4 linked regions of the Stegostoma tigrinum genome follow. The protein of the gene in region 4 purifies or fractionates together with the protein of the main gene of each other region. This does not show direct contact. Links are inferred from orthologs where the notes say so. Each region holds a gene or a part of one and is shown on either strand. Other genes may lie near its edges. The genes, in order: small glutamine-rich tetratricopeptide repeat-containing protein alpha-like, activating molecule in BECN1-regulated autophagy protein 1-like, edrf1 and bag2.

Region 1 (7,418 bases), on a different chromosome or scaffold from region 4:
ATTGTTGCACTGCGTTCACTCATCTGTTGCTGTTGTGTCTGCATGGTCTTGCTAATATATCATGCCTTGGGGCATCGTTGTCTGCAGCACATGAGATAGACAATATCGGCCTAGTCACAAGTATCTGCCATGTATATTGTGGGTGGTGTTCCCATGTGCAATTGTTGTATCCATGTCAACAAGATCTGACATCTTGCAGAAATTGCCATGGCAAGGTTGTGTGGTGTTGTGGTCAATGTTCACCCAAAGGCTGGGTAGTTTACTGCAAACGATGGTCTGTTTAAAGGTTTGGCAGTTGCTTGAAGGCAAGAAGTAGTAGAGGCATAGTGATGATCTTGGTAAGATGCCTGTGGTCTAGATCTTGGTGGGCAGGAGTTAATTCAAAATTTGCAGATGATACAAAGCTGTAAACTGTAAAGGAGAACAGTGCAGAATTCCAAAAGGCCAAAGACAAGTGGAGGAGTGGGGAAGAGTTGGCAGATGTGATACAATTCAGAGAAGTCTGAGCTGATGCATTTATAGAGAAAGAGCATAGCCAATGTTACAAAATCAAGAGGTGCAGGTGGAGGAGGACCTGGACGTGTATCTGCATAGAACACTGAAGGTAATGGGAATGATGGAAGCAGTTAAACAGTTCTGTGCATTTTTTAAAAAAGGGGCAGAGAATACAAAAGCAAGGAGGGAAAGCTGAACTTATTCAAGACACTTGTTAGATCTCAGCTGGACTACTGTGCTTTGTTTGGGTACCACACTGATGTAAGGATGTGAATGCATTGGACAGAGTTTAGAAGAGATTTACAAAAATGCTTCCAAAGATAAATACCTTCAGTTATGAGCATTGATGGCAGATATTGGGACTGGAGGCAGCTAAAAAGCAGCTTCAGTAGAAGTTTTCAAAATCATGGCGAGATCTGGATAGAATTTATAGCAAGAAACTGTTCCTGCTCATAAAATGATCCACAACAAGAATGCAGAAATTTAAAAGATACTTGTAAATATGGTGAATGAGATGTCAAAAAAAAGCTTTCACACATGGTTTAGACCCCCTGGAAATGTGGTTGAGCCAGATTCAGAGGCATTCAAGATGGAAATAGATGATTATTTAAGTAAAAACAAGATGCAAAGGTACAAGAAAAAAAAAGCAGGAAAACAGCACTAAGCCATAATGCTCGTTGGCTAGCTGGTGCAAACACAAAGCCAGCATGGCCTCCTTCTGCACCATAATGTGCCTCCAATTCTGAAGAAATTGTTATGCAAACAGAAAAATAAGAGTAAAGCTTGAATTATTGTAGTATCTACACCATGTTTTCCAAGTACAGATGCAAACACTGAGCTACTAAAAGCTGTACATCTGTTGAGTTCTGAAATGAAAAAAAACATAGCTCGCACTGAAGCCATTCAACTGCACAAAGTAGTAACGGTCACCTACTATTACTTTTTTTTCCTTCTTCCTGAACTGAAGAATCAGGACACCATTCTGGGAGATAGGGTTACCCCTTTCTCCACAGCATGACAGTAACTCAGTCAAGTCCCAGAAGCAACTCCCAGGCCAGGCCGACGAGGGCAGCAAGTCGCAAAGGGGGTCCCGGGCCAGGCCAGCACAGGGACATTGAGTCCTGGGACGGAGGCCAGTGCAGATGCAGCAAGTCGTGGACCAGAAGCAAGGCCCTTGGGGACTGGAAGCTCAAGATCTGAGGCCTAGTGGGTCTAGAGACTTGGCCTGGGCAATCTGAAGGCTCGGTACTGGCACAGACTAAAATTTGAGTACTTTTTAAAAAGAAAACTTGTTTATCCTTACACTGAATTTTTATTTGCAATTCTTTCAAGTCTGCAACACATACTTAAGTGTTCTGTACCTAAGCACCCTGTTCCTAAGAAGCTGCCAAAATAGTGACATTACAAACTTTTCACTGCACTCATTCAAGTGCACTTGATAATAAAGGCTTATTCAAATTCTTTACAACTGCATCCCAGGATAATTAAAGTTGGGGAAAAAATGAGAAAGACATAAATCAGCTGCTTAAGGCCAATGGCACAACTTCAATGGAAACCAATAAACATTTAAATATAAATTGAAAATAAATGTGACAGAGAAAGGCTCAGTAGAGGAAGGAAAGCCACCCTGCGCAAGGGGGCTTGGAAAAGCAAACATAGAAAAAAAACACAAACAGCAAATAGGCATGTACAATGGATTTGTTTGTATTCTGTACTGTGGGGATTCTGTGATTCCAAAATTCATTCCTGCTTTGGTGCAGAATACAAACAAGTTAGTTAAAAAGCAAGGGGACTTTATCCATTACAATTGAATACATAAATATTACACCAAATCAGCAGAGAATACACAAAATGTAGTGCTGCAAATCAGCTTGCAAAATGATCATACCTTATCCACTTTAACTATGTAGGCCTTACAACACAGTCCAGTCCTTTGACAATTGGATTCTACTTGAACACAACATTGCATGCTGATGTCTGATGCACTAGTCTATTCTAGACAGCAAATGTAATTTGTGAAAATGGTAAGCCAGCAAACAAACACTTAATAGCTAATTGAAAATTAGCTCATAGGAGCAGCATTAATACAGAGGACATGTACACTGCTTGCACAGATCAATGTGCCAACTATCTCGACATGAGATATTCACACAACTAAACCCAAGTCAGAGTGATACAAGGACAGAACATTCCAGCTTGGGCCTAGCATCGCTGAGCGCCTCCTCACTCACACTTAGTTACACAGCCGACAGAAAAGCGACCCAACTTATAATACCAAGTTCCTTTATTTTAAAACAAAATTGGAGGTGCATTCTAACTTCTTCATATCACCCACACAAAAGCCATTGAGGAATATTTTCTTCAAACTCACCGCTTTCTGATACTAAATACGGACACGAACACCAAGACAACACTCTCTGCACATGCTCCGTCCGAGACGACTTCGGACCCTAGAGCGCATGTGCTGTTCGGCTTGACGATCGGATCGCAGCACGCATGCGTACTCCCCGTTGACGGCCGAACCCCAGGGTGCATGTGCCCATCTGCTCGGGTTGCCCGCATCTGTCAAATAAGTATCATTTTATGCATGCTCCGATATAGGGGACGAAACTTCCTTTGCTAATGCTTCAAGTGGTGATGATAGGCTTGGTAACTGATATGCTGTTCAGCAGATACAGAACATAGAACAATACAGCGCAGAACAGGCCCTTCGGCCCTCGATAATAAAATGTGAGGCTGGATGAACACAGCAGGCCCAGCAGCATCTCAGGAGCACAAAAGCTGACGTTTCGGGCCTAGACCCTTCATCAGAGAGGGGGATGAAGGGTCTAGGCCCGAAACGTCAGCTTTTGTGCTCCTGAGATGCTGCTTGGCCTGCTGTGTTCATCCAGCCTCACATTTTATTATCTTGGATTCTCCAGCATCTGCAGTTCCCATTATCTCTTCGGCCCTTGATGTTGCGCCGACCTGTGAACTAATCTAAGCTCCTCCCCCTACACTATCCCATCATAAAATGCCCCTAATGTGGCTGAGTTAACTACATTGGCAGGCAGGGCATTCCACGCCCAATATTTGATATTTTCTTGTTTATAAATTAATTATATATTAAATAGTAAAACTGACAGTGACACAAAGCTTTATTTTTAAGGATAAATAAACCTTGTTCTGTATTGAAGTCAATTTGTGAAATCAGAATTAAAGCTCAGAAACAAGCCATTCAGTAGAACAGACTGACGCAATGCTTATGAATCACATGAGCCTCTTCATGTCGTTCATCTAACTCTTATCAATATATTATCTTATTCTCTTCACCCTTCATCTAACCTGATCAACATATTATTTTCTGAAGAAGGCTCTAGGCCCAAAATGTCAGCCTTCCTGCTCCTCTGACGCTGCTTGGCCTGCTGTGTTCATCCAGCTCTACACCTTGTTACAACATATTCTTTTATTCCTTTCATTCTTTAGGTGTTGCCTGTCTCTTCTGAGGTCCACCCTCTTTACAGAGGTTTCTCCTGGATTTAGTGCTGACTATCTTATCATAGAATCCCTACAGTGCAGAAATTCAGCATCAAGTCTGCACTAACTCTACATTCATTCACTGGCTGGGAATTCCTTATGGCCCCTCTTCTTGACATGATCCTCAAATGGAAATGGCTTATACGTACACTTTTAACTCATAAAGACATATATCAGGTCACCCTTCAACATGCTTTTGAGAGAAAACAACCTAATCAGTTGGATAATAATTTTGTCATGGTGGTAATTCGAGAAGTAGGAAATATGATGCCGTGGTGTATTTCATTTTAGTGCAGATATTTACTTTGTCAGGCTTTCTCGGAAACACGTTTTTGTGTCAGCATGGAAATTTGAGTAATTTGTAAACCCGCCAGGATTCTTATGCATTGTCAGTAATGGCATTTCACAGCTGAGGATCATGGAGATAGAAATTTAACCTGTTTCATTACATCAGTGAGGTCAGTGGTTGATACATTGTTGCTTAGGTAAAAGTTGAACCTGGGTGAGATAAACCAATGTCACCATAACAGTGACAAAGAGCTTGAAAAGGTTTTAAGAGTTTTATCATTAATATCTTTTACTGCTACAGCAAGAACATTTAGACTCAAACACTGTGGCAGTTCCCCAAGTTCATAATTATTTGGTGAAGTTGGGACAAAGATGAAGCATTAAAAAAAACAGAAAATTTTGAATATTGCTTTATGAAAATGTATTTTTAAAATTAGCACACCTTTACATCTTTCTCTAATTTTTAGTTGAATGTTGTGTACACAAAGACACAAAGTTATAAAAGCCAAGAATAGAGAATCTATAGATGCAGGTACATAGGTCCTTGAAAGTGGCATCACAGGTGGACAGCATGGTGGAGAAGTCATTTAGCATGCTTGCTTTCGTAAGTCAGAGCAGTGAGTTGGGACATCATGTTACGACCGTACAAGACATTGATAAGGCCACATTTGGAGTACGGCAGCAGTGCCAGTCGCTGTGCTATTGGAAGGATGTTATTAAACTGAAAAGCATACAGAAAAGATTTACTAGAATGTTACCAAGACTGGAGGGTTTGAGTTACAAGGAGAGACTGGATAGGTTGAAACTTTTTTCCTTGGAGGATAGGAGGCTGAGGGGTAGCCTTGTAGAGGTTATAAAATTGTGAGATATATTGATAAGGTGAAAAGCTAAGGCTTTTCCCCCAGGGTTGGGGAGTCCAAAACGAAGGAGCATAAATTTAAGGTGAGAGGGAAAAGATTTGAAAGGGACCTGAGGGGCAATATTTTCACACAGCGGGTGGTGTGTATATAGGAATTAGGAGCAGGAATAGGCAATTCAGCCCTTCAAGTCCACTCTGACTTTTAATATGATCATGGCTGATCTTATATGGAATGAGTTGCCAGAGGAAGTGGTACAGGCCAGTACAATTACAACATTTGAAAGACATTTGAACAATTATATGGATAGGAAATATTTTGAGGGATAAGGACCAAATGCAGGCACATGTGACTAGTTTAGTTTACAAAATCTGGTTGGCATGGACAATTTGGGCTGAAGGATCTTTTTCCATGCTATATGACTCTAAATGCCTAGCTACTGATGGCCATATCCCATGTATAATATCCCAATAGGTGTAACCACCCATAAAATAAAAACAGAAAATGCAGGAAATGTTCTGCAGGTCATAGAATATGTGAACAGCGAAACAAAGTTCATACTTAAGGTATGTGAGCTTAATTGCTTTGAACCCAACGGTCCGGCAATGCTCAGTTTTCAAATTCTTATTCCACTCCATCTCTGTAACCTCCCACAAAAATTCTGATTTTTCTCTAACTCTGGCTAATGTATGCCTGCTAATTATTTGATCTCACTATTCATGGCTGTGCCTTCACATGTTAATTACCTTTCACTGAAACTTGTAAAATTTAGAAAAGAATGGGAAGGAAACAAAAGAAAGGTGTTTGATACGGTGGAGGACAAGAGATATCAAATAACAACAGTCCATGGCGCAGGATCAAAGATAATGATAACTGAGACAAATAAAGAAACAAAAGATATGTCTAGATGGAGGAATGAGTGAGGAAGAGCTACCATCCAAAAGCAAACATGAAAGTAAAAGAGTAAGACAAAAAATTCCCAAAAAGAGAAAGAGATTACAGTTTGAAATTGTTGGACTCAACAATGACTCTGTACGGTGTAACACACCTAATCTGAAAGCTGAAGCACTGCTTGTCAAGTTTAGACCATGTTGGAATGCTATAAGAGGCTGAGGACAGAGTAGTCATTGTGAGCAAAGATCATGAGATGTAGAAACAGAAATAGACCAATTTGCCCATCAAATTAGCTCTGATATTCAGTGGATCATGGCTGATCTGATGATACTCAACTCCACTTTCCTACCTTTACCCCATATCATTCCCTTCCACTAAAAAAAATTACTGATTAAAAACATTCATTATTTCTAGACTTGACTACTACAATGCACTTGTCAGCCTCCTGTGTTCTTTCTGCAATAAACTTAAAGCCATCCAAAACTCTGCTGCCTGCGTCATGACTTGCACCAAGTATCATTTATCCTTCTTCCGCTCCTTGTTCCCACACAGGCTCTGGGTTAAGTAATGCCTTAATTTTTTAAACTTACTTTTGTTATCAAATCCCTTCATGGTCTGAGCTTTCCTCATCTCAGTAACCTTCTTCAGCTCCACAACTTTCTGGGAAATCCGTGTTCCTCTATTTCCAGTCTTTTGTGATTCCATAGCGTTTTGATGATTGTGTCAACTACCTCATCTTAACCTTTTGAATGTTGTTCATAAACTGCTCCTGTTCTCTAGCATTTTTGCCACTATTAGTATCCTTGTTAAAATCGACCTGGCTGCCCAAAACTTTGGTCCTATGCTTAATATGTGGCTAGGTCCTAAATTTGTTTCATGGATTGCCTCGAAACATTTTACTGCGTTAGAAACATAGAAACTAGGAGCAGGAGTAGGCTATTTAGCCTTTCAAGTCTGCTCTGACATTCAATATGATTGTGGCTAATTCAATACCCTGTTCCCACATTTTCCCTATAACAATTGATCCCTTTAGCCTCAAGAACTACATCTTCCATATATCCTTGAAAACATTCAATGTTTTGGCCTCAGCTGCTTTCTGTGGCAAGGACTTGCATAGGCTCAGCACTCTCTGGGTGAAGAAATTCCCCCTTGTCTCAGGAATACCCAGTATCCTTAGCCTTTGAACCTTGGTTCTGGACTCCCGGGTAATTGGGGACATCAATCCTGCATTTACCCTGTCTAGAATTTTGCATTCCCCAGACACCTCTGAGAATCCCCTCTCATTCTTCTGAACTCCAGGGTATATCATTGTAACTGATCCATTTTCTCTTCATTAGTAAACCCTGCCATCTGAGGACTTAATCTGGA
Region 2 (7,176 bases), on a different chromosome or scaffold from region 4:
ATAGCACAATCACCAACCCATCCCATACATAACTGTAGTTCAAGACTTGGAGGATGGAGAAGAGTGCACAAATGTACAGTTGCTAACTTTGCTGGTGATACAAAATGAAGTTAAGTGTGAAAAGGATACAATTAGTCTGCAAAGGGTAGGTTTGCTGAGCAGGAAAATTTGGCAAATGGAGTATAATGTGGATAAACTGAAAACAGCATATGATTTAAATGAAGAAAGATTGCACAACACTGGAGGTACAGAAGGATCAAGGTAGTCTGGTACACAAACCATACAAGGTTAGTATGAAAATGCAGCATATATTATATCTTTATTTTATTCCAATGCGAATTAAACATAAAAATAGGGATGTTTTGCTGGTCTTGTGCAAAGCACTAGCAAGACTACATCTAGAGCTGTATGTAAGGTTTTGGTCTCTTTACTTAAGGAAGACTAATCTTGCATCGAAAATAGTTCAGAATATCTTCAACTCAATGGATATCTAGGATGGGGAAATTATCTTTTGAGGAGTAGTTGGACAGACATGACCTGTATCCAAGATAACAAGGTGTAGAGCTGGATGAACACAGAGGGCCAAGCAGCATCAGAGGAGCAGGGAGGCTGACGTTTTGGGCCTAGGCCCTTCTTCTAGGCCCAAAACGTCAGCCTTCCTGCTCCTCTGATGCTGCTTGGCCTGCTGTGTTCATCCAGCTCCACACCTCGTTACCTCAGATTCTCCAGCATCAGCAGTTCCTACTATCTATGACCTGTATCCACTTGAGTTTAGAAGAATAAGGGATAGTCTTGCTGAAACATATAAGATCCTGTGGGACTATATGCAGTGGATGCTGAAAGGTTCCTTCCCATTGTGGTGCAATGACAAACTGGAAAAATGGTTTAAAAATGAAGATCATATGGGTAAACCATTTCAGATGAAAACTAAGCGTTTTATTTTTTTCTCAGAGGGTGATGAGTCTTTCGAATTCTGTTCCCCAGACAGCATTGGAGGCTGGGTGATTTAAAATTTTAAAGGCATACATAGATACACTACCAAAGGGGACAAAGGATATGAGGATTCAATAGGAATGGGAAGCAAGGAGCAAATCATCTATTTGTTTGTAATTCATATGGCTACATGGAAATTTCCTGATCTTTAACCAGTATGATCAGGCTTAGAATTTACATTTTAATGTTTATAAGCAAGTCTAATCATTCTGCTTGTGTTTCGTGGGGATTTCTTTATGTAAATTTTTTAAAATCATCTCATTTTTGAGGTAAATAAAATATATTCTGTGTCTTTAACACATATTTATGGCATCGTGTTGTTTGCGCCACAATATTATAAACTGTTTTTAAAACTTGATGTGTCTGATGCTTGTTAGCTTTGGAGATCCATTTTCACGCATAAACAGTAATTTAAAGAATAAAAACAGCACAGCTTTGACAATTTCCTAATAACTCAATGGTTGACATAAATTTTGACATGTTTCACACCAGTTTTTACATTCCAGTATATACCAAAGCGATTCAGGAATTTTCTACTCAAATGTCTGTAATGACATTGGAGGAAGGTCCAGGCCATCTCAAATTTGGAACTCCTCACCACGCTCAATATCATTTTCCTAAAATCAAGATTTTAAAGCCTGCAGTGAGCTACAACATTTGCCAGCACAACAATGACTACACTTTGAGAATGATATTTTGAAATATCCAAATTTATAACATATAACGTAGCCATTCAGGTCAATCTGGAAGTGGCATCTAACAAAGAGCCCTCCCAGCCTAATCCTACCTTATCACGCTAGATCAAAAGTCTGGCAGGTAACAATTCTTCAAAGCAGAATCAAATATTTACTTAATTGCGGTGACAGTTTATGTCTCGACCAGCCTCTGCATGGGCGAAAAAAAGTTTCCTCATCTTTCCTCTACCAATGACTTCAAGCTCTTGACACCTCTGTTAAGGAAAATTTGTCACCTCTATTTACTCAAATTCCCTCCTAATTTTACACACCAATTATGTCACCTCTCAGACTCAAACTGTTAGACTACTAAACATACTGAAATATTAAAAGATTACATTTACATAAATTCTTGCCTCGTCTTATAGTCGAACTATTTCGAAAGAGGGCCCTCTATCAGGGTTTTTCATTTCTCAGATTACAACATTAAAGAGGAAATGTCGTTTACAGGCCTACTGGATCACAATAAATTCATCAAATTAAAATGTCAGTAAAAAGGGGGCCAGTTTCATGTTTCCCAGAACCACTCCAGCCTAACGAGCTTCCCATTTTGTGCTTGTAAAATTGATGGTTAAAACACAGCCTGGGCAGACATTTTGTGTAGGACTCCCCCTCTTGAAACAGCATTAAACTATTCCCCAGCCCCGGAACACAGTGAACAAGGACAGTGCTTCACATTTATGAACTGCCACAGGAGAAATTCATTCCTGGAAACTGAGCAGTGGGTGGAAGGAGGCGGGAGGGGGGGGGGGAAGGAAAAATGTCCCTGAGAGATACCATGACAACTTGTCTAATCCACAGAATACCAGGCACAAGACTGTGGAGTTTTGCCTCACTTACCTCTGGGGAAGACAGGTAGAAAGTGCCGTACGTCAAACAAACTGGTTAGTATCCATCACTGAGCGGAATACAACTGTCCACCAAAAGGCCAAGTTTTGGTGTGGCCTAGAAACCTTTCACATATTCCATAATTTCTTGTGTTACAGACATCAATGTCTCTCCCAGACCAGTGTAATTGATACGGAGCAATGGATGCAATCCGGAGCCAGGCCAGAACAATGGAACCTACAACATCGACCATTCATCCCAACAGGAAGACTTCAGACAGCCAAGGCCAGAGCAAGTGAAATTGTTCAACCACCGCCTGCTTCCGCGACTGGCTGCTGGACCACTTTAAATGCCCGCTCGCAGTATCTCAGCTTAACAGTTCACATCAAACATGTGTATCTATTTGAAAAGAATACACCATGCATTACAGGCTTAGTTGACACGTTGAAAGGGTTTTCAGTTCACATGTTGTATCTGTGCCTCATCATCCATGGTTTGGTTTTTGCAATCGTGTGGGAAACCTGGAAACCTTCAGTCTTGGCAAACCTCCTATTGAAAATACTGGAATGTGAATTATGATAGCCTGTATTGTCAGTCTCATTAAGGCAAGGTTTGTACAATGTGCTTGAGTTCTTATTGTTAACAATTACATAACGTTATTCAATAAAGAACAAATCACATTACTAGGCTAAAAAGTTTAATCCTGGATATAGATTTAATTAGCTAATCTTAGCTTTGGCAATGCTCAGAGAACCACAATCTTAATAGAGTAGGAGATGAATATTATTTTGATGCAACATCTCACACATTCTCTCAGGATATCCCAATAATGTACCTTTTTAACAGTCATCATTGTTGTAACGGACAAAAAAATAAAATTCAATTTGCACAAAAAGTCACAACAGGCAGAAATGAAATAACTGATCAGATAACTTGTTTTAGTTACATTTGAAGAATACATTTAGGCCAGAATTCCATTCTCTTGTTTGAATATTCCCAAGAAATTTCTCTTGGGAATATCTTACATCCATCTGAGAGAACAAATGGGATCCCAATTTCATATTTATTCTGAAAAACAGCACCTTTTTAAATCTAGTACTTTAACTGCGCTGCACAAAAAGTTACATATTCAAGTTTCAAGATGAGGCTTAAACCTAGGAAACTATTTCTTTGTTTGCTCTGAATAATGCAACCATGCATCCTTCTGAGGCACAATTCAAAGCACTACCGCTGACAGACCAATTTTCTTGAATTACTGCACTTGTCCAAAAGACAATTTGAAGGAAGTTTGGTGTTCTTGAAAATTACATTAATTGTAACTCATGATCATATAACAAGTTAGACTGTAAAAATTCTCATCTTTGACCTCACCTAAGTGTATGATTCAGTGTGTAATGCTGTATAATGTTAAGTTGCCAGTTTCATTTCAGTTATTTACCCATTCTGGGGCCAAGTCTTGGTTTAGTAATAATTTATATTGACCATCTTTCAACACAGTCAGTTTCACATCAGAATACAAACTATTAAACTTTGCCATGTGTGAATTGGGTAAGAACAGTAATAAGTTCAGCTGAAGGCCAAATAGTGTGCCGATATTTGCAATGCAGTCACGACTGGTGAGTAACGCAGGATACAAAGAGGGCATCGATGTTCATTGGACTGTAAATAAAATACTGGATGCTGGAACTCTGAAAATTCTAAATAATATTGAGCGTACCCAGCGTTTTCTCCTTATATCTGCAGAACATCCTGTTGGGGACAATGAAAGAATGGGGAATGGAACATTCAAAAAAAAAGAGGAAAGTGGTCAGAATGCATCTCATCTGTATTTCTAAAACAATCAGCCTTTGAAATTCTCCTAAGTCAGAGAGAACTTCCCTGCAACTTCAACTTAAGATTCCAAAACAGAGGGCTGAAATCTCTGCCTAACTCTCTCACTACTTTGGAAACTGGGTCACTGCTACCCTTTGCCTCCTGGGAAATGTAGTCCCCTCTGGGCGCAGGGCATACTGGGGTTTGTAGGCCACACAAGATGACTCTCTGTTTGGCGACCACACATTCGACATAGCGGGCTTCGTAGTCGTTGTGGGGAGGAAGAATAAAATCCTAATTCTATCACGGTGAAAAGAAGACGCGTCGCCGACTTTTATTTACTGGAGCGTTTTCACTCGTGCTTGGTTTAGTTTCAGTGGCGGGAGTTGTGGTGTGTGATGATGGCGAATGTGCGCGCCGGCGCTGAGGGGCGATGTTCGCGGAGCGTGGCGGAGGTAAACAGAGGCAGTTTGAGGCCGGGAGGCCGCTGGCGACGCCGTTTTTGTTGTTGGGATCGCGGGTGTGATTGGCGATTGAGGACGGCTTCTCCCCAACCCCTCCACCGGGCTGGGGCGACGGGAGCCAAGGCCGCCGCTCCGTTCAACTCGGGCGGTGCCGGAGAAGTCTGCTGGAATGTGAGGGGTGAGTGTCCGCTGGGGCCTGGGTAGGGGCTACAACCCATCGGTACCGTCCTCACCCGCTGAAAACGCGGGTTTGTTTTTAATATAAGTCTCACTTATTCATAATTTTACGGCACCGTGCAGCTTCGGCGTTTATTCCCACTTGTGTGCGGCTAAGATGTAAGTTGCTGTTGTTGTTGACTGGTTTTTGGGCACTGGCACAGGCACTGCGGGCCGAATAGCCTCCTCTGCTGGCTGCGATGTCGGGGAGCCAGTTCGGGCCGAGTGATGATGACCCTTCCTTCGGAACTGATTTTTCGCTTCTCTGATACCGCCGGACGTGCTGAGCTTTTCCGGCAATTCCCGCTTTCGTTTCTGATTTGCAGCGTGCGCAGTTCTATCCGTATTTTTTTTTAAAAAAAAGAAAAATTCGGTGCAGTTTCAGGACTGAAGGATTTGCTCGGCCGCAAGACAGTGGCGTTTAAAAGTTGTCTTTTTACCCCGGAAATTAAACGGGCCGTTGATTTCTTAAATCGCGACTGGAAACTTCACTGTCCAGTGTCCTTCATGTATATGCAATGCAGTTTGTCTGTGTCAACATACAGCTTTTCAGTGGATTTCGTTGGCTTGTGAGGCTGCTTTTATTTGTTTTTCCTGGTAGTACCGAAGACCTGTTGCAGGCTGTGACCCAAAACATGCAAGTTACTTAGGCACAGGAATCAGCCACTCAGCCCGTCGAGAAGCTCCGCCATCTAATTAAATCGTGGTTGACCATTACTCCAAAGTCACTTTTCTACGCTATTTCCACACCCGCTGTTATCATTTGAGAATGAGAATCTTACTGATTTCTATCTTGAACATATTCAGTGATTAAGTTACCCCTCCGGCAAAGCTCCCGTACGACTTTTCCCCACTGTGCAGCCTTCCCATGTCCGTGCACACTAACAGTTTATGGAAACAAACATATAAGCATGCTATTTGGCGTGTGCAGACCCCACCCTCAGCAGTCGCACATCTTGGAGGGAATGTTGCTGTCCGGGATCGTGAATTCCAGCAATTCCCCATCCTCTGGGTGAAAATAGATTCCCCATAATCTTGAATGGTGTGCCATTGCTCTGGAATTGTGACACCTGGTTTTAGGCATGCTAGCCAAGGGAAATTCCTGTCTACAATATTCCTACCTTAATATCCTTGCAATACTCCACAGACTGCGGTCATGACAATTACTTGCTTCCTACTTTCTGCCTGTTAACCAATTTTAAAATCTGTGCCAGTATACTAATCGCAAACCCATACACTTTAGAGATAGTAGGAACTGCAGTTGTTGGAGAATCTGAGATAACAAGGTGTAGAGCTGGATGAACACAGCAGGCCAAGCAGCATCAGAGGAGCAGGAAAGCTTGACGTTTCAGGCCTAGACCCTTAGTTTTGTTGCAATTAACCTCCCATTGAAGATTTTATCAAGCCTTCCAAAAATTTGAACACAGCACATCTACTGGTTCACTTTTATCTATACTACAAGTAACATTCTCAATAAAAGACCAAGTTTGTCGATTTGATTTCCTTTCATTCAATCCATGTTAACTCTGCCTGATTTTTGTGTCCAGTAAATATTATCCTTTACAATAGATACTAATGTTTCCTTAGTACTGACATCAAACTAACAGATCTGTAGTTGTCCATTCTCCCTCTTAAATGATGAGCTTACATTTGCCACTCTTCAGCCTGCAGGAATGCTTTCAGTGTCTGTATCATTTTGAAAGATGATCACGAATGCATGAATCTCTAGCCAAAAACTTTGACACTGGAATGTAACTCATTTGGTCTAATGGATTTATCAGTCTTGAAGGTCTGCGTGTGACAGCAGCTTATGGAAGGTTTGATTGTGCAGCCATTGAGAGATTCTGAAGTGCTTAAAGGGAATGTTGCCCTCTGATTAGTGAATTCTAATGATTCCCCACCCTTTGAATGAAAATAATTGGTAGTAGATTCTTTGCGCATTTTGAGAGATTATTGAGAAGCAAATTGCGAAAAGGCTATTAGGTGAGAATGTGGAGAAATCAAAACAACCATAATCCTACTCCATGGCAGAAGAGGCTCATAATTCTCATGTTAATATATAGTTTCTCCAGCATTTTCTGTAAACTGCCCTGTCTCCAACTGTAATGGGCCCTCATTTATCCTGGCTA
Region 3 (7,813 bases), on a different chromosome or scaffold from region 4:
AGCAAATATATGGGAACACTATTATCTGCAATTTCCCATCCAATCCATGCCCCATCCTGACTGGAATATATACCATTTCAGTTCTATTGCTCAGTCAAAATGTTGGAATTCCCTTTCTAACAACACTGCAAGTGTACTTACATTTGTAACAGTTCAAGCAGGCAACATTCACAGTTCTTCCCAAAGTTGATCAGCACAACAACTGTTAGCCTTGCTTGTATTGGAGGCAATTGTCATCATCTAAAATTCTTGAGATCAATTTTAAAATCTAGGAGGTGGTAAAGTGCATTGTTGAAAGATACAACACTTTTCTCCAAGCTTTCATTGAGCTTCACTGGAACAGCATGGACTGCAGAATTAAAGCGACAGGTGATGCTAAGTTCAGAGTCTCATTTCTAAACTGAAAGATTGCATTCCTCAAAAAGTCACCTAATCTGTATTTGGTTTACCAAATGTAAGAGGTATTTTATCAAATGCACAAAATGTAGGTTAAACATCTGAAAGAATAAATCACTGTTCCACTGGCAGAATGTTTTTGGTATCTATAATGTGAAGGGTGGAAGAGGCAGATGTTACATCCCCTATGTTTTTAACAGAACGTGCCATGGGAAGGGGGAGGCAGAATGCAAAGTGAACCTCTGGACTGGAAAAAGGGAAGCATTTGCTGACATTACAAGGAGCAGAAATTGCAGATAAATCTGTTGAATGGGCAGGCTGGAGTTAAGAGGAGTCCTGCTGTAGTACTGGAATGGCTGAGAGGAAACAGACAGATACTGTTTAAGATCCTAACAACCAGAATGAAGGGAAATCCCACAATAGAGGAAGTAATGGTTCAGAGGTGGCATAATCAGAACAGGCAAGCAGCAGCACAGAAGATACAAGAAAGGAAGCAGGATTGTAGGGAGTGTAGTCACGTTGACAGTTAGAGTCTGAGAGAGCACAATAGGAACTGTTTGGTAGCCTATCACCTGAAACAAAACAAAGTAGTTAAGGAACACTGGGAGCTGAAGGGCAGGGAATGGTGGAAACACGAAACAAGGTTGATTGCCTAGAGCTGAAAAATTCAACAGTAGGAAATACCAATTGCACCATCAATACACAGAAATAGATCTGCTGGAGGGGCTCCCTAATTGTACTATAATAAAGAATATGCCACATATCCCATGAAAAGACAGATAGGGGCCATTCTCATGTATGAATACTCATTTTACTTAGGACAAGTCAGTGAAATTGAGGGAAACTAGTACAAAATTGACGAGTGCAGGCAGGCAGAGAGAAGTGTTGGTGAATAGGGACAGATTACTTCTTGTTTGAATGGAGGCCCCACAAGCCCTCTAGCCCCCTCAACTTGTCCCTCAGAACTGGATAGGCGGGTGCTTAGTTGCATTATTCTCCATTAGTGGAAACTGCAAGTGGCTGCGAGCATCAAGAGTCACAAATACAGACATCAGAAGGTCAGACAAAAGGATAAACTGGAATATGAGCTGTGAAAACAAGGAATCAGATGAGTGGAGTAAAAACCAGATGAAACAATAACTGTACGTGGGTGGCCGTAATTGTGGATCTTCAAAAGGGGGCAGAAGATTTTGTGCTGGTTACAACTGCCGATGCTGAAATCAGAGATAACACAGTATGGAACTGGAGGAACACGGCAGGCCAGAATTTTCTGAAGAAGGGTCCTGACCCAAAACATCAGCTTTCCTACTTGATGCTGCCTGGCCTGCCGTGTTCCTCCAGTTCCATACTGTGTTATCAACTTGCAGGGCTGTGGGGGATAGAGTAGGGAAATTATAGTCGCTCAGAGATCCAACATGATTTTGATAGACTGCCTTGCTCCTGTGCCGTGATAACTGAGATCTGATCTGATCTTTCTTTCTTGGTCTCCAGTTTTGTAATTCCCAATCGCACAAAATTCTCTAAGGTAGTGTGGAGCTGGAGGAACACAGTATGGAACTGGAGGAACATGGCAGGACAGAATTTTCTGAAGAAGGGTCCTGACCCAAAACATCAGCTTTCCTACTTGATGCTGCCTGGCCTGCTGTGTTCCTCCAGTTCCATACTGTGTTCCTCCAGCTCCACACTACCTTAGAGAATTTTGTGCGATTAGGAATTACAAAACTGGGGACCAAGAAAGAAAGATCAGATCAGATCTCAGTTATCACGGCACAGGAGCAAGGCAGTCTATCAAAATCATGTTGGATCTCTGAGCGACTATAATTTCCCTACTCTATCCCCCACAGCCCTGCAAGTTGATTTTCCTCAAGTCTTCATGGAACTTCCTTTTGATGTCATCTTTCATTTGAGTACAACATCCTCAAAGGCAGCATTTCCATGACCATAAATTGCATTTCAAAAGTTGCAACTCAAAGCAACACACCCGCACCATTCCTATCGCTAAAACTTTCAACGCATCCCCTGGTTTCTAAACTACCGGGAGCAACTGGCAAATGGTCATTTCGAGGGCCTTCTGTGCTTTGTGTCCTTGGAGAAGTAACCGGGATCCTCCGGGATTGTGGATAAGGGAGGGGTGGTGTCAATAACTGACGAGGGCTACATCCAGGTGAACAGCAGGGTTGGAGATGGAGGCTCGACCAATGAGGAGTCTCAAAATTTAAAACAAAAAGTTCGAGAAAGCACAAAGGACCTCCTACCTACCTGTTTCAAGTCACAAGTTTCCCTGCTGTTACTGCTACTCTCTCTGACTTCAGCCTTTCGAGGGGCAGAACCACTGGCTGCGGCCGCACACTCCCTTCCCTCCATGGTTACTCGGCAGCGTGGGGGAGACGGGCCACTCCGGGCAAAAACATGAACCGGCTTCTTGCCCAGAACGTTCTAGAAGTCATTACCAAACAAGTGGGACAAGAAACGAGGTTAAACGCGGCGCTGTCGAACACAAAGGCGAACGGGAGTGTTTTCCTACCCTCGTGGCGGCAGCAGCCGGGGACGGTCACTACCGGCACCCCCCACCCCCTTGCCCCAAGCAGAGGCGAAGCACCAGTAGTGTCACCAGAAACTTCTGCCGGAAGTGCCGCAATCCAGTTTCCGGCAACGCGCGGAGTTCCGTTAGAAACGGTCAGAGCTCGGAAAAGAGAGGGAGATGGTTGCTTCGTTGCTGACGGCAATCTCTTGTACATTCGTTACACCTATCGCACTTATTGGAGAGGAGGCATCCGCCAGAAGCACCCCAATACACATGCAGGAAAGAAAATGTTTTCATTTTGGCTTTCGCTGCCTGGCGATCTATGCCCCTCACCTCGCCTATCTCAAAGCGTTTTATTCTCTAATCTAACAGAGTGGGGAAAGTTGATTCAGTAGTCATAATGGTGGAGAGAACGTTATATCTGGATTTCGGTGGCAGGTACAAAGCCATATGTCAAACGTATGACGTCTTGTTGAAAGCAACATTTGTTAATTTCAGGGATCAATTCTCTGCAAACAAATGAGTTCAAGTCTTGTACCTTTTCTGAATTACCTGGGCGACGAGGGAACCTGAGCTCCTTGTTTTTTTCCATGGCAACACCCTGGACATCAGAGATGTTTTGCCATATTCCTCCTGTAGCATAAGCTGTTGTCATCATTTGAAGGTTGGCTTTCTTGTGTCGACCCTGGAAATGGAAGACAAAGCGAAACATAAACAGCAAGTCCCGCTGTTCATCAATATTCAAGGTCTTTATAATTTAAAAAAAAGTATGTGATTAATATTATTCCTAATGAATCTCATTTGTTTATTTTGATGCCAGCACATGTTTATCCAAAAGTACTGCAAATGTTTAGAAGTTTGTTTAGCTATGTTCAGAAGTTAATTCCACATTTTACGCAAAAATATATGTATTTCACCAAATGCTTCATTTTGTTCTGAATTTGTAGCATCAAGAAAATAGAAAATTTTATAGTAGTGTTTAAATATTCCTGAAATGTAGTGCAACCCATATAGTGGAAAATACCTATGATTTCAGCGCACAGTTGATCCTTCTGCTCATTTTCACTAAAGGGTAGTATGTTGGTGAGATAAGCATTGGGGTTTAGATGTTCCAGGAATGTTAATATCTGCTATTTCTGTTGAGACGAATAAAAGATACATAACTTTTTAAAAATTCAAAATACATGGCTGATGAAAAACTGCAGCGAAAACAAACTACAGAAAATGATTATGCAATCTGCTGATAATTCAACTATTAAAACAGTAAATGTTGGCAATTATGTAGTTGGTCAGACAGCATTCTCTGTAGAGATTAGTGACCTATCATCAGGACACAATATTTTACAATCATGCTTGAAATTAGTCAGTAATTTGAATTAATCAACACAAATGGAGCAAAATGGGAATTCAGTGATGAAAATGAGAATTAAACATTTAGAATTGAACAAATTTGAATCAAGGGCGAACTACCCTTGATTCATGTATTCAAAATATTTCATGGGAATGCCAAGGATAAAATATTTACTTAATTATTAACATGTATTAAATTGCAGATAAAACAATAAAGAGCTTCTTTGAAAAATAAAGAATCTGTTGCTTTTAAAGAGAGGTGGGCACCTTGGCGGGATACTGTGCTTTATTTCCCTCTCCACCTCCATTTTGGTTTTGTCTCTTCCCTTTCTCCCTACCTCCCATCTTCACTTTTGAGTGTATGTATTGCCCATAATGGGCTTTGCTTGTATATATTTAATTAACTACATGGCAGTTGTGGTGCAATGGTAATGTCCCTATCTCTGAACCAAGAGGCCACAGCTCACGTTCCACTTGTTTCAGAGGTGTGTAAAATCATTGCTGAAAAGGTTGATTAGAAAATATCTAAAGAGTTTGTCAGATGTGCTCTCATAACACAGTGCTAATTTCTCTACTTTTGCACCAGGAGGCCTGGGTTCAAGTCCCACCTGCTCCACAGGTGTGTCATTAACATCTCTGAACAGTTGATTAGGAAAACATAATAAAGGGCCTCTGTTTATATTTTTGCCTGGGTGCCATTGGAGACAGAGCACATAGTGTCCACCAATGTTCCCAATGCCTTTAGAAACAGGTGGTACCCTGAGGGCTTCAGTGCTGTATTTCCCCCTTCCTGTTCTCCCTACCATTCCCTCACTTCTGATGGTTTGCATTGTTCGTGATAGGCTTTGCATGTAAATATCAGATTGGTTGTACAGGTGACTTATTGGTGGTGGTTAGTAGTTGGAAAAATTGTCAGTGATTTGGTGGTGGGAAAATCATTCGATTTTGTGTGTAAGGACACTTCTGGCGATATATATATATTACAAAAGTAGCCTCTATAAATTATGCAAAATCGCAATTATGCAACAGCTTGTTGCATTTTTACTGGGCACTATTTACAAATAGAATGATAGCTCTTACAGGACAGAAGTAGGTCATATGGTCTGATATGTCTTTGTCAATTTTTGAAATAACTTCAATTTAGACACACCAGTTCTTCTGCCAGTAAACCTGAAAATTAATCCAGCACATGTCCGGTTATCTCTTAGAAGTGCTAAAGGGATTTGCTTCCACCACTGTTTCAGGGTGTGCATTTCAGATCCTAACAAGTCTGTAGGTTTTATTCCCCTTTAGACTTTGCGACAATTACTTTAAATCTGTCAGATCTTGTCATTGCTTCACTTGCCTGAGGATCCACATGACTGAGGTTCCTTTTCATTTGTATAATTATGGTTCCATACAAATTGGGAACAGGTAACATTAACATTATACCTTAAACATTGTTTTGGGGGTTTGACCGTACAGTTCTAAAACCCCGTGTGTGTGTGTGTGTGTGGGTTGTACACTAAGGACTTAACTGTGTTAGATCCAGACTGCTCATAATTGTCTTGAGAACTTTTTCGACATATAATTGGAATGTCAATTCAGCCAGATCTTAATTGTTAATCCATTTTGAATGAAGAACTCTGTTAACTTCTCCATCATTAGCTTGGCAGAAATTGTTCTCAAGGAATTAGCATCTGGAAACAAAGCAGTCAAACCATAAAAGTACAGATATACTGGTTTCTCACTCCTGTTTTCAGTAGAAGACACTCACAGTTTACCAGCACCCCAAAGATTGATTACCCAAAAAACAGTACAGGAATTAGTCTGAGATAATGGGAACTGCAGATGCTGGAGAATCCAAGATAACAAAGTGTGAAGCTGGATGAACACAGCAGGCCAAGCAGCATCTCAGGAGCACAAAAGCTGACATTTTGGGCCTAGACGCTTCCTCAGAGAGGAAATTAGTTTTGCTGGTTTCTTTTCAGCTGTGGTTTTCCTACAATCTAGCTATTATGACACATTTTTTAAAAAAAAAAGTTCTTTTGAAGTCCTGGCAAGGGAAATGTCATCTTATTCAGGTTTGGTTTTTCTGGATCCTTACATGTCTTATTTCGGAATTTAATTGGCTATCCTTAATATCTCCTGATGATATTTGAGCAGCATCACTATCTAGTGAACCATCTATCTTCATTCACAGGTCTGTGAGAATGTCTCTATTTCCAAATTAGAATCATATTTTTAATATTCTAGTATTCTGGAAATGCCTCTGCTTAAATTTTGGTTTGTGCTGAATATGCTTCTTAACTCTGGATTGACTTGCTGAACCTTGATCGAAGAAGACTTATAAACATTTTTTTCAGATTATTCAAATCCCCAAAGTTTCAGAAAGCCTAACACCCGTTGCGCCAAATTGGCTTCCAACATTTAAATTTGTTTAGCCATTGTTCAGGTCAGTATACATGAAGGCAAAAATCCTGGAATCTTTTCCTGCAACTGCTTTCTGTTTTTATTGAAGAAGCTACTATGTTACCGCTGGCAAATCATTCCCAAAGTATAATAATGTGTTTACCTATCTCATTTGATAAGGAGCTGCTTTTCTTTTCAACAAGCATTCCCTGTAGCTCTTAGGTAACTAATTCACTTTCCCTGCACCCACAGTAATACTGCTAGTATCTGGCTTCACAACTGCACCCAGAGCCACAACTTGGTCTGTTATACTCATGGTAAGGGTCGTTTTTTCTGCATAAATCTTGAGCACCCCAGTAAGTCCAACTTCTAGCAAGCTGCATGAATGCAACTAACCTTGTAACAACGAAAAGACTAAGGCTTTTAAACAGCTGTTCCATCCTAATCACCTCTGTGGTCTAAGGAGGAGGTCCGAGGGTATTTTCAACTGCTCCGTCATGTCCTTGACTACTTGCCTTCCTTTCATCCTCCCATTTTCTATTCTCAGATTTGTGAGGGTAATAGAAAAAGTGATTTTGTGAACAAACACAATCATAAGCCATTTTACCCGCCTGGTTGTTGTAATCAGGGTCTCTGTGTGGATTATTTCTCATAAAAGGACTGAATTTTAAAATTCCTCTCAGAGAATTATGATAGTTCTCGTTTGTGGTGTCTACGTCTAAATCAAAGGTAATTTGGTCAACTCTTTCAAAATTCTATAGAAGTCTGTCAAGGTTGCATTCTGAAGATTCTGAAATTTCTGTATTTAAACATCAGGGACCACTCATATGCACCAAGAATAACTACATTTGCCATTTCACAATCATTAGAAGCTTCTTTCAAAAGCTCTGCTTGTGCAAAGCAGGCTAACTAGAAATGTCCACTTTTGGCCACCTTACTGTCTGGCTGTCTTTTGAAAAGAAATTTAAAAATGCTTCTACATCCTTGTCATGAAACTTTGGGAGTGCCTGCACAAAGTTAAGCAACTGCCCACTGGTTCTTTCTCTGAAATTCTAACTCTAAATTCATCTTATCCAACTACATCTGTAACAGTCAAACCTCATCTTCTTCTGTTTCTACTTGTTACTCTGGCTCTTTTCACTCAAATTTGAA
Region 4 (6,964 bases):
TAACCTCAAACTAACGCCTTCCTCTACACTGCCAAAAAAACCCAGCTAGTCTTGTCATCCACAATCTTATTTATCATCATTGATAAATATCACAAACAATCAAGAACTCAGTACCGATCCCTGTGGTACACCACTGCACACTGGGCTCCAGTCTCACAAACAACCATCTATCACCACCCTCTGTCTCCTGGAACGAAGCCAATTTTGGATCCAACTTGCCAAGTTACTTTGGATCCCATGAGCTTTTACCTTTTTTATCAGTTTTTGATTTGCAACTTTGTCAAAGGCCTGACTGAAATCCATATAAACTGCGTCAAACTACCCTACCCTGATTCAAACTCATGGTTAACTCCTCGAAAATTTCCACCAGATTTGCTGGCATGACTTCCCTCTGATAAATCCCTGCTGACTATCCGCGTCAAACCTTGTTTTGCTAAATGGAGATTAATTTTCTCATTCACTACTTTCTCCGATAATTTCCCTACTACTGATGTTAGTTTGAGTAGTCAATAGTTCCCTGGCCTATTTCTACCACCATTATTGTAAAATGGAACCACATTAGCTGTCCTCCAGTCCTCTAGCACATCCTCTGTAGCCAGAGAAGACTTAAAAATTTGGGTCAGAGCCCCTGTAATTTCCTCCCACGTCTCCCATAGCAGCTTGGGATACAACTCATCTAGAACTGGGATTTGTCCCCACTTTTAAATCCACCAAAATCTCCAATACCTCATCACTTCTTATATTTACAGTACAATATTTATTAGCAAAACAGATCAGAGAAAATGCTGCCTAGAAAGCAACTTTTTTAAGGGAATTTGTTAGTAATTTTTGAGGATGCAGTATAAGACGGTGTCAGATGTTTCTGTAGATTTAGCCATTCGCTCATTTTCATATTTGCTGAGAACAATTTAAACTACAAAAGCTAAAAAAAGTTTTAGTTTGAATATCTGTTAAAATTATATTGATTAACCATTTAAATGTTATTAGTTTAAGACAGGTAATTTTTAAACAATATTTACATCCCTAACTTACATAGCAATCAAGCCACAAGGCACGATCAACCTGAAGTTTCTGGCCCAGAGATAGTGATGCTAGCCGCCGGGTCACAGGCCTGTTTTGAAACTGCTATTTTCTTCCTCAATGTTTTCTTCAACAACATGCTGAAATGTTATAACACACCTCGCAGGCAGGTGGGTCTTCAACCTAGACGCCCTGGTCCAGGGATAGGGACATGACAACTGTGCAATTAAAATTCTTAAAAGCCTACTGCACGTTTATTTCCCAGGCTGTCTTCCATTCCAAGTACTGGTCAGGCCTGAATTGCTTAGCTTCTAAAATCAGACAAGATCAGTCATTTTCAGACTGGTATCGTTTTAGTCACTATTGTATTGACATGTAATTCTCAACTGCAGGAATAATTCAGAGTATTCATTGTGAATAAACGGGAATCGGGCACACAGCATATTAGTGTAAGTTTACCAAACCTTAAAAACAAAATGGGTTTTCAAGTTTTAGCAGTTGAGGCCACTGCAGTTCAAATGCAGTATCAATGCTGCTGCAAAACCTTTTGTTTAATCAATAATCATAAACCTGTGTCCTTTGATCAGGAGCCCCGCTTCCCGTCGGCTTTCCCCTGTGAAAACTCCCCAAGATTTTGAACAGCCCCATATTAGTGCTGTCTCCGGTCTTCCCGGCTGAAGGCCGAAAGAACTCTGTGCCTGTGATCCGATATTTTAAAAAATCAGAGCTGTACACACCGTTTACTGCTGACTGAAAGCTACAGTTGTATGCACCGAATATCACTAAGAGGCCAACTGCTGGGTAAGACGGGACGCGGCATGATTACGATTTGACAGAGCCTCAACGACCAGGCGAGAGGCACAGAGAGAGAGAGAGAGAGAGAGACAGCTAGAGAGGGGGCGGCGACAGGAAGTCTTCACTAAAAATAAAATCAGAAGTCTCTTTCCGATTCGGTAAGGCCATCCTGACCTCAAGGATTTTTTTTCTGTTTAGGATCCCAAAGAACAATTCCAGAAAATAACAATTACATTTTTCACCTTTTTAAAAAAAATTATAACAAATACGAGGATTACACTCGTTTCTCAACCTGTGTGTTATTTTTGTTTCTGTATGAACCGCTTTAAAGGACGGGACTGGTGTCCTCTCCTACCTCAGCTCTAAGTTGTCCAGTGTCTCCAGGAGCCGCCCCGATCGATCTGCCATGGACATAGAGCGGAAGAACTTGTTTTCTACATCGTTCCCCTTTACCTGATTGATCTTAGACTGGGCCATGATGCTGACAAGTTTCAGGGCTGTCAACTGGCCTTTCTCTCTCTCTCTCCCGTTCCTCCGGGAATCTTGGTTCCTCTTGTGGGATCTGCTCGTCTTCCTGTGGGAGATGAAGATTTCCAAATAGGGTGAGGACTCCCCCACTGTCCAAGGAGGGAGGGGTGGGGGGTAGGGTGGATAAACCTCTACTCACAGGAAAGAAGGATGCAGAACAGAGGCAACAGAAATCTCTCAGTCCCTGGCTCAGATTTATTCCTGGCCAGTGGGTTTTCTAGAAAAAAAAACTCAGCAGGCGCCAAGCAATATATTTAGCAAGGCGCATTTTTTCAATCTTTCCAGTCAACTGTTGATGGAGATTGTGAACATGTCAAAATCTTTTTTTAAAAAGTCTTTTATCCTCGTGTTTATTCTTTGTGAAACACTAATGTAAGCTGGAATTTCTTTTTCTGGACGTGATTCGTTCCATTTCCCACTCCGTCACCACCAAGTTCCCCTCTGAGCCCATATCTTGCTCTTCCTTCAATATCTCCAAAGACTGCAATGATTCAAGACTACAACTCACCACCAATAAATTAAAAAAATCGTTTTTTTTCAACCCTATTTTGAGATGAATGGGCTCATTTAAAAATGCTATGAGACGTACCAGTCTACCAAGATCGGGAATATATTGTTCTTTGATTATTCTGAAGTTGGATCTAGTCTTGGAGATCCGTGTGACAGTGAGTTGCACATATTCACCTCCGAGTCCGTTAGTTGCGCACGCTTTTAAGACCCCTGGTGATATGTGCATCCAGTCTAGGCTGACACTACTGCCCAGTATCGAGGATGTCCTTCACTAATGAAGGTGTTGTCTTTGAGATGATATGAAATAGATTGTCTTTCAGTGGCGCAAAAAATGTCGGTAGTTTTTTTAAAAAAAAAGAGTCCTAGCTAATAGTTCTCCCTTAATAAACATCACTTAAAATCTACTTGATCATTGTCAAGTGCAATGTAAAATGTTACAGTACTTCAGCGGCTGCAAAACACTTTGGAGTATCTGAAACCAATAAAAAAATACTAAATAGACATTTCAGGGATAGTAGGAACCTGCAGATACTGGAGAATATGAGATAACAAGGTATAGAGCTGGATGAACACAGCAGGCCAAGCAGCATCAGAGGAGCAGGAAGGGTGAGGTTTCAGGTCTAAACCCTTCTTCAGAAATGGGGGATGGAAAGGCGGTTCTGAAATAAATAGGGACAGAGGGAGAGGTGGAAAGAAGATGGATAGAGGAGAAGATAGGTGGAGGAGACAGACAAGTCAAAGAGGTGGGGATGGAGATAGTAAAGGTGAGTGTAGGTGTGGAGTTAGGGGGGGGGGGGAATAGGTCAGTCCAGGGAGGGCACACAGGTCAAGGCTGGTAGGTAGGTGATGGGGGTGGGGCTTGAGGTAGGAGGAAGGGATAGGTGGGAGGAAGGGCAAGTTAGGGACGCAGGGACAAGTTGGGCTGGTTTTGAGATGTGGTTTGGGGAAGGGAGATTTTTGGAACCTGTGTGAAGTCCACATTGATACCATTAGGCTGCAGGGTTCCCAAGCAAAATATGAGCTGCTGTTCCTGCAAACTTTGGGTGGCATTGTCGTGGCACTGCAGGAGGCCCAGAATGGACATGTTGTTGAAGGAGTGGGGGGGGGGGGGGGGGGGAGAGTTGAAATGGCTCGTAACTGGGAGGTGCAGTTATTTGTTGTGAATCAAGCGTAGGTGTTCTGCAAAGCGGTCCCCAAGCCTCCACTTGGTTTTCCCCGATGTCGAAGAGGCCACATCCGGAACAGAGAAACAGTATACCACATTAGCAGATGTGTTTTGATGTGGAAAGTCTTCTTGGGGCCTGCGATGGGGGTGAGGGGGGAGGTGTAGCACTTCCTGCGGTTGCAGCAAAAAAAATGCCCTGGGTGGTGGGGCTGGTGGGGAGTGTGGAGTGGACAAGGGAGTTACAGAGAGCGCAGTCCCTCTGGAAAGCAGATAAGGGTGAGGAGAGAAAAATGTCTTTGGTAGTGCGGTCAGATTGCAGACGGCGGAAGTGCTGGAGGATGATGCGTTGGATTCAGAGGTTGGTGAGGTGGTATGTGAGGATGAAGGGATCCTGTTTTGGTTGTGACTGCAGGGAGAGGGTGTGAGGGATGATTCACAAACTTGTCAATCTCCCCATCCCGATCACATCGCAAAACCAGCCAGGCTCGTACCCACCTCCCTAACTTGTCCTTCCTCCCACCTCAAGCCCCACTCCCATCTCCTACCTACCAGCCTCATCTGCCCCCTTGACTTGTCTCCCTGGACTGACCTATCCCCTCCCTACCTCCCCACCAAGACTCACTTTTACTGGCTCCATCCCCACCTCTCTGACCTGTCTGTCTCCTCTCCACCTATCTTCTCCTTTATTCATCTTCTATCCACCTCCCCCTCTCTCCCTATTTATTTCAGAATCCCCTTCTTCTCCCCCATTTCTGAAGAGGAGTCTGGACCCGAAATGTCAGCTTACCTGCTCCTCGGCCTATGTTCATCCAGCTCTACACCTTGTTATCCCACTAAATAGAAGGTCTTCCTTTAACCTTCATGTGGCCATCCATGTGCACAAAAAGTGTACCAGGCTTCAATCATATGCAAACGGTTGAAATAAAAAGCAGGAACTTACTTGGAAAGTTTGGATGGAAGGAGATTCACAACATTTCTTTCTTTGGTCATTTATTCTCTGTATAGTTCATTGGATGTTACTGACATGTTGGTTGCATTACTTGAAGATGTTTAAATAAAGAATCACTAATGATGCAGTACCCATCAGATCATGTCTCCATCAAGTCAAATAGACAGCCAGACAAGCTGGTTATGTTGTTCTGTTTGATTGATCTTCCAGCACATCATCTTCCACTAAGCGTTTCTCACCTGTTTTGATATCCTCTTTGGCCCCCTCACCTGTTGTCTGCTAATACGATTGTAAGGCTACAATTGTGTTTGCTACATTAACTGTGCAATATAAACGGCAAGCTTTTGGAGGTAGAGAGAAGAATTAAATAGCCAAGTCACTGAAAGAACTCTGTTCTTCACCTATATTTGAGCTGCTTGCCATTTCCGAAACACATCACTTCTGACAGTGCTGCAATGAAATATCAGGTCAAGTTATATAATGAAGTTCAGGTTGATCTCAAAACACTGAGGTGATAATGTCACAAAGTTTGTCACAATGAGTTTGAGCTGATGTTTTTGTTGATAAGGCTCTACGCAAATATAATTATGTCTCTCTCTCAAAATATCTCAGAAAATCTCATGACGATGGGTGAAGAAAAAATATTTGATTTACGCAGCATCTATCATAATCTCCAGATATCCCAAATTCCTTCATAGCAAATGAAGCACTTTTGGAAGCTTCTTCATTATTGTAAGGAACGCAATAACCATTTTGTACAAAACAAAACTGTACTATCAGAAAAAGCTAAGTGGAGGGGAAGGGAAATCAATGTGAAATATACATTCCAGGGAAGTACATGTAAAAGATCTCCTATCTTGGTTGCAGTTTATAGTGTTGCTTTAATACGAACAATAATGAATTTCAGCATTGTACATACCTTCTTCAAATTAGTCCGCATTAGTCATACCAATTGAGTCATGTGCTTATGGGGATTTACCCAATGTTTATCGAGATATAGTGAATCTGAACAATTAACATATGTACCCCTTGTATTTCAACTTCACCGAAAGTGAGAAGAGTGGATATTAAATGAGTGTCTTGGCTCAAATTGGTATTCTGATCTATCAGTGTACTGTACACAAAACAAGATTTCAATCAGTTTCACTTAGTTTAACAGATTCGACTCATCTCTGCCCAAAGACAAGTGGTAATCAGAGATCTTGCACCTTTTTGTTTTTGAGTGTTGGACATTCTGGAAAATTATTAACTGAATTTCCTTGCATCTTTGAACAACAGGATTTCCAATATAAAAAGATAGTTCTAAGGTGGACGTTAACTAACAGCAATGTTTAACAATGAGTAATTAAGGTGTAATTTTTGTGGCAAGGACAATAAACATTGGTAGAGCTATCCATTGACCATACATAATGATTAATAAAATCTCTTCTTCAAAGTCTTTAAAAAGAGAGGTAGTCCTATTCAAGGAAAGTAGCTTTTGTAACATACAAGCACTTTACAGCAATATTACTTCAAAGGATTTGGGAAGAGATGTCCTGAGGTCTTATCTATGAAATGCACCTTTGATGTAGGTAAGATATGGTGCATGACAAAGCATGGTTTGCAACATGATTCTTCAAAGAGTACTGAAGATAAAAACTGAAGCTGAAAAGTCATGAACTCATGTTGAGCTTTGAACCTCTCTGATGTTTGGCATCATGACTTTGTTTAGCATGCTACATTTCAATATCTCATACTTTTGGGGGTGGGGAATGAACAATCCATAAAACCTTGTAATATGCTGTGGTCAGAGGTTCAAAGCCTAGCAAGGCAGCTGGAGGAATTTAAATGCCATCAATAAATCTAGAATTAAAAGTCTGCCTCAGTAATTTTCTTCTGAAGGTTTCGACAGCCTCTGTATCCATTACACTCTCAGGTGGTGCATTCCAGATCATCAAAACTGTCCACTGAGTTATACTGCATTATCTTCTTCCTGCATGTATTGTTACAACCCTATC

Evidence for each region.
Region 1: the proteins of bag2 (region 4) and small glutamine-rich tetratricopeptide repeat-containing protein alpha-like purify together in Homo sapiens (affinity purification with mass spectrometry; 3 studies listed by BioGRID and IntAct, with this or other methods). This does not show direct contact. The link is inferred for Stegostoma tigrinum from reciprocal best matches to the Homo sapiens genes BAG2 and SGTA.
Region 2: the proteins of bag2 (region 4) and activating molecule in BECN1-regulated autophagy protein 1-like purify together in Homo sapiens (affinity purification with mass spectrometry; 3 studies listed by BioGRID, with this or other methods). This does not show direct contact. The link is inferred for Stegostoma tigrinum from reciprocal best matches to the Homo sapiens genes BAG2 and AMBRA1.
Region 3: the proteins of bag2 (region 4) and edrf1 purify together in Homo sapiens (affinity purification with mass spectrometry; 3 studies listed by BioGRID and IntAct, with this or other methods). This does not show direct contact. The link is inferred for Stegostoma tigrinum from reciprocal best matches to the Homo sapiens genes BAG2 and EDRF1.

Annotation. Positions count from the first base shown.
Region 1 is NC_081383.1:7,847,983-7,855,400, forward strand, and holds the start of small glutamine-rich tetratricopeptide repeat-containing protein alpha-like, read right to left. Parts: upstream 3,001-7,418; 5' UTR 2,867-3,000; intron 1-2,866. UniProt on the Homo sapiens protein: Co-chaperone that binds misfolded and hydrophobic patches-containing client proteins in the cytosol. Mediates their targeting to the endoplasmic reticulum but also regulates their sorting to the proteasome when targeting fails.
Region 2 is NC_081370.1:2,164,028-2,171,203, forward strand, and holds the start of activating molecule in BECN1-regulated autophagy protein 1-like, read right to left. Parts: upstream 3,023-7,176; 5' UTR 2,568-3,022; intron 1-2,567. UniProt on the Homo sapiens protein: Substrate-recognition component of a DCX (DDB1-CUL4-X-box) E3 ubiquitin-protein ligase complex involved in cell cycle control and autophagy.
Region 3 is NC_081373.1:31,645,961-31,653,773, reverse strand, and holds the start of edrf1 (erythroid differentiation-related factor 1), read right to left. Parts: upstream 3,021-7,813; 5' UTR 2,761-3,020; coding exon 2,656-2,760; intron 1-2,655. UniProt on the Homo sapiens protein: Transcription factor involved in erythroid differentiation. Involved in transcriptional activation of the globin gene.
Region 4 is NC_081357.1:92,219,332-92,226,295, forward strand, and holds the start of bag2 (BAG family molecular chaperone regulator 2), read right to left. Parts: upstream 3,015-6,964; 5' UTR 2,293-3,014; coding exon 2,171-2,292; intron 2,118-2,170; exon of another isoform or gene 1,758-2,117; intron 1-1,757. UniProt on the Homo sapiens protein: Co-chaperone for HSP70 and HSC70 chaperone proteins. Acts as a nucleotide-exchange factor (NEF) promoting the release of ADP from the HSP70 and HSC70 proteins thereby triggering client/substrate protein release.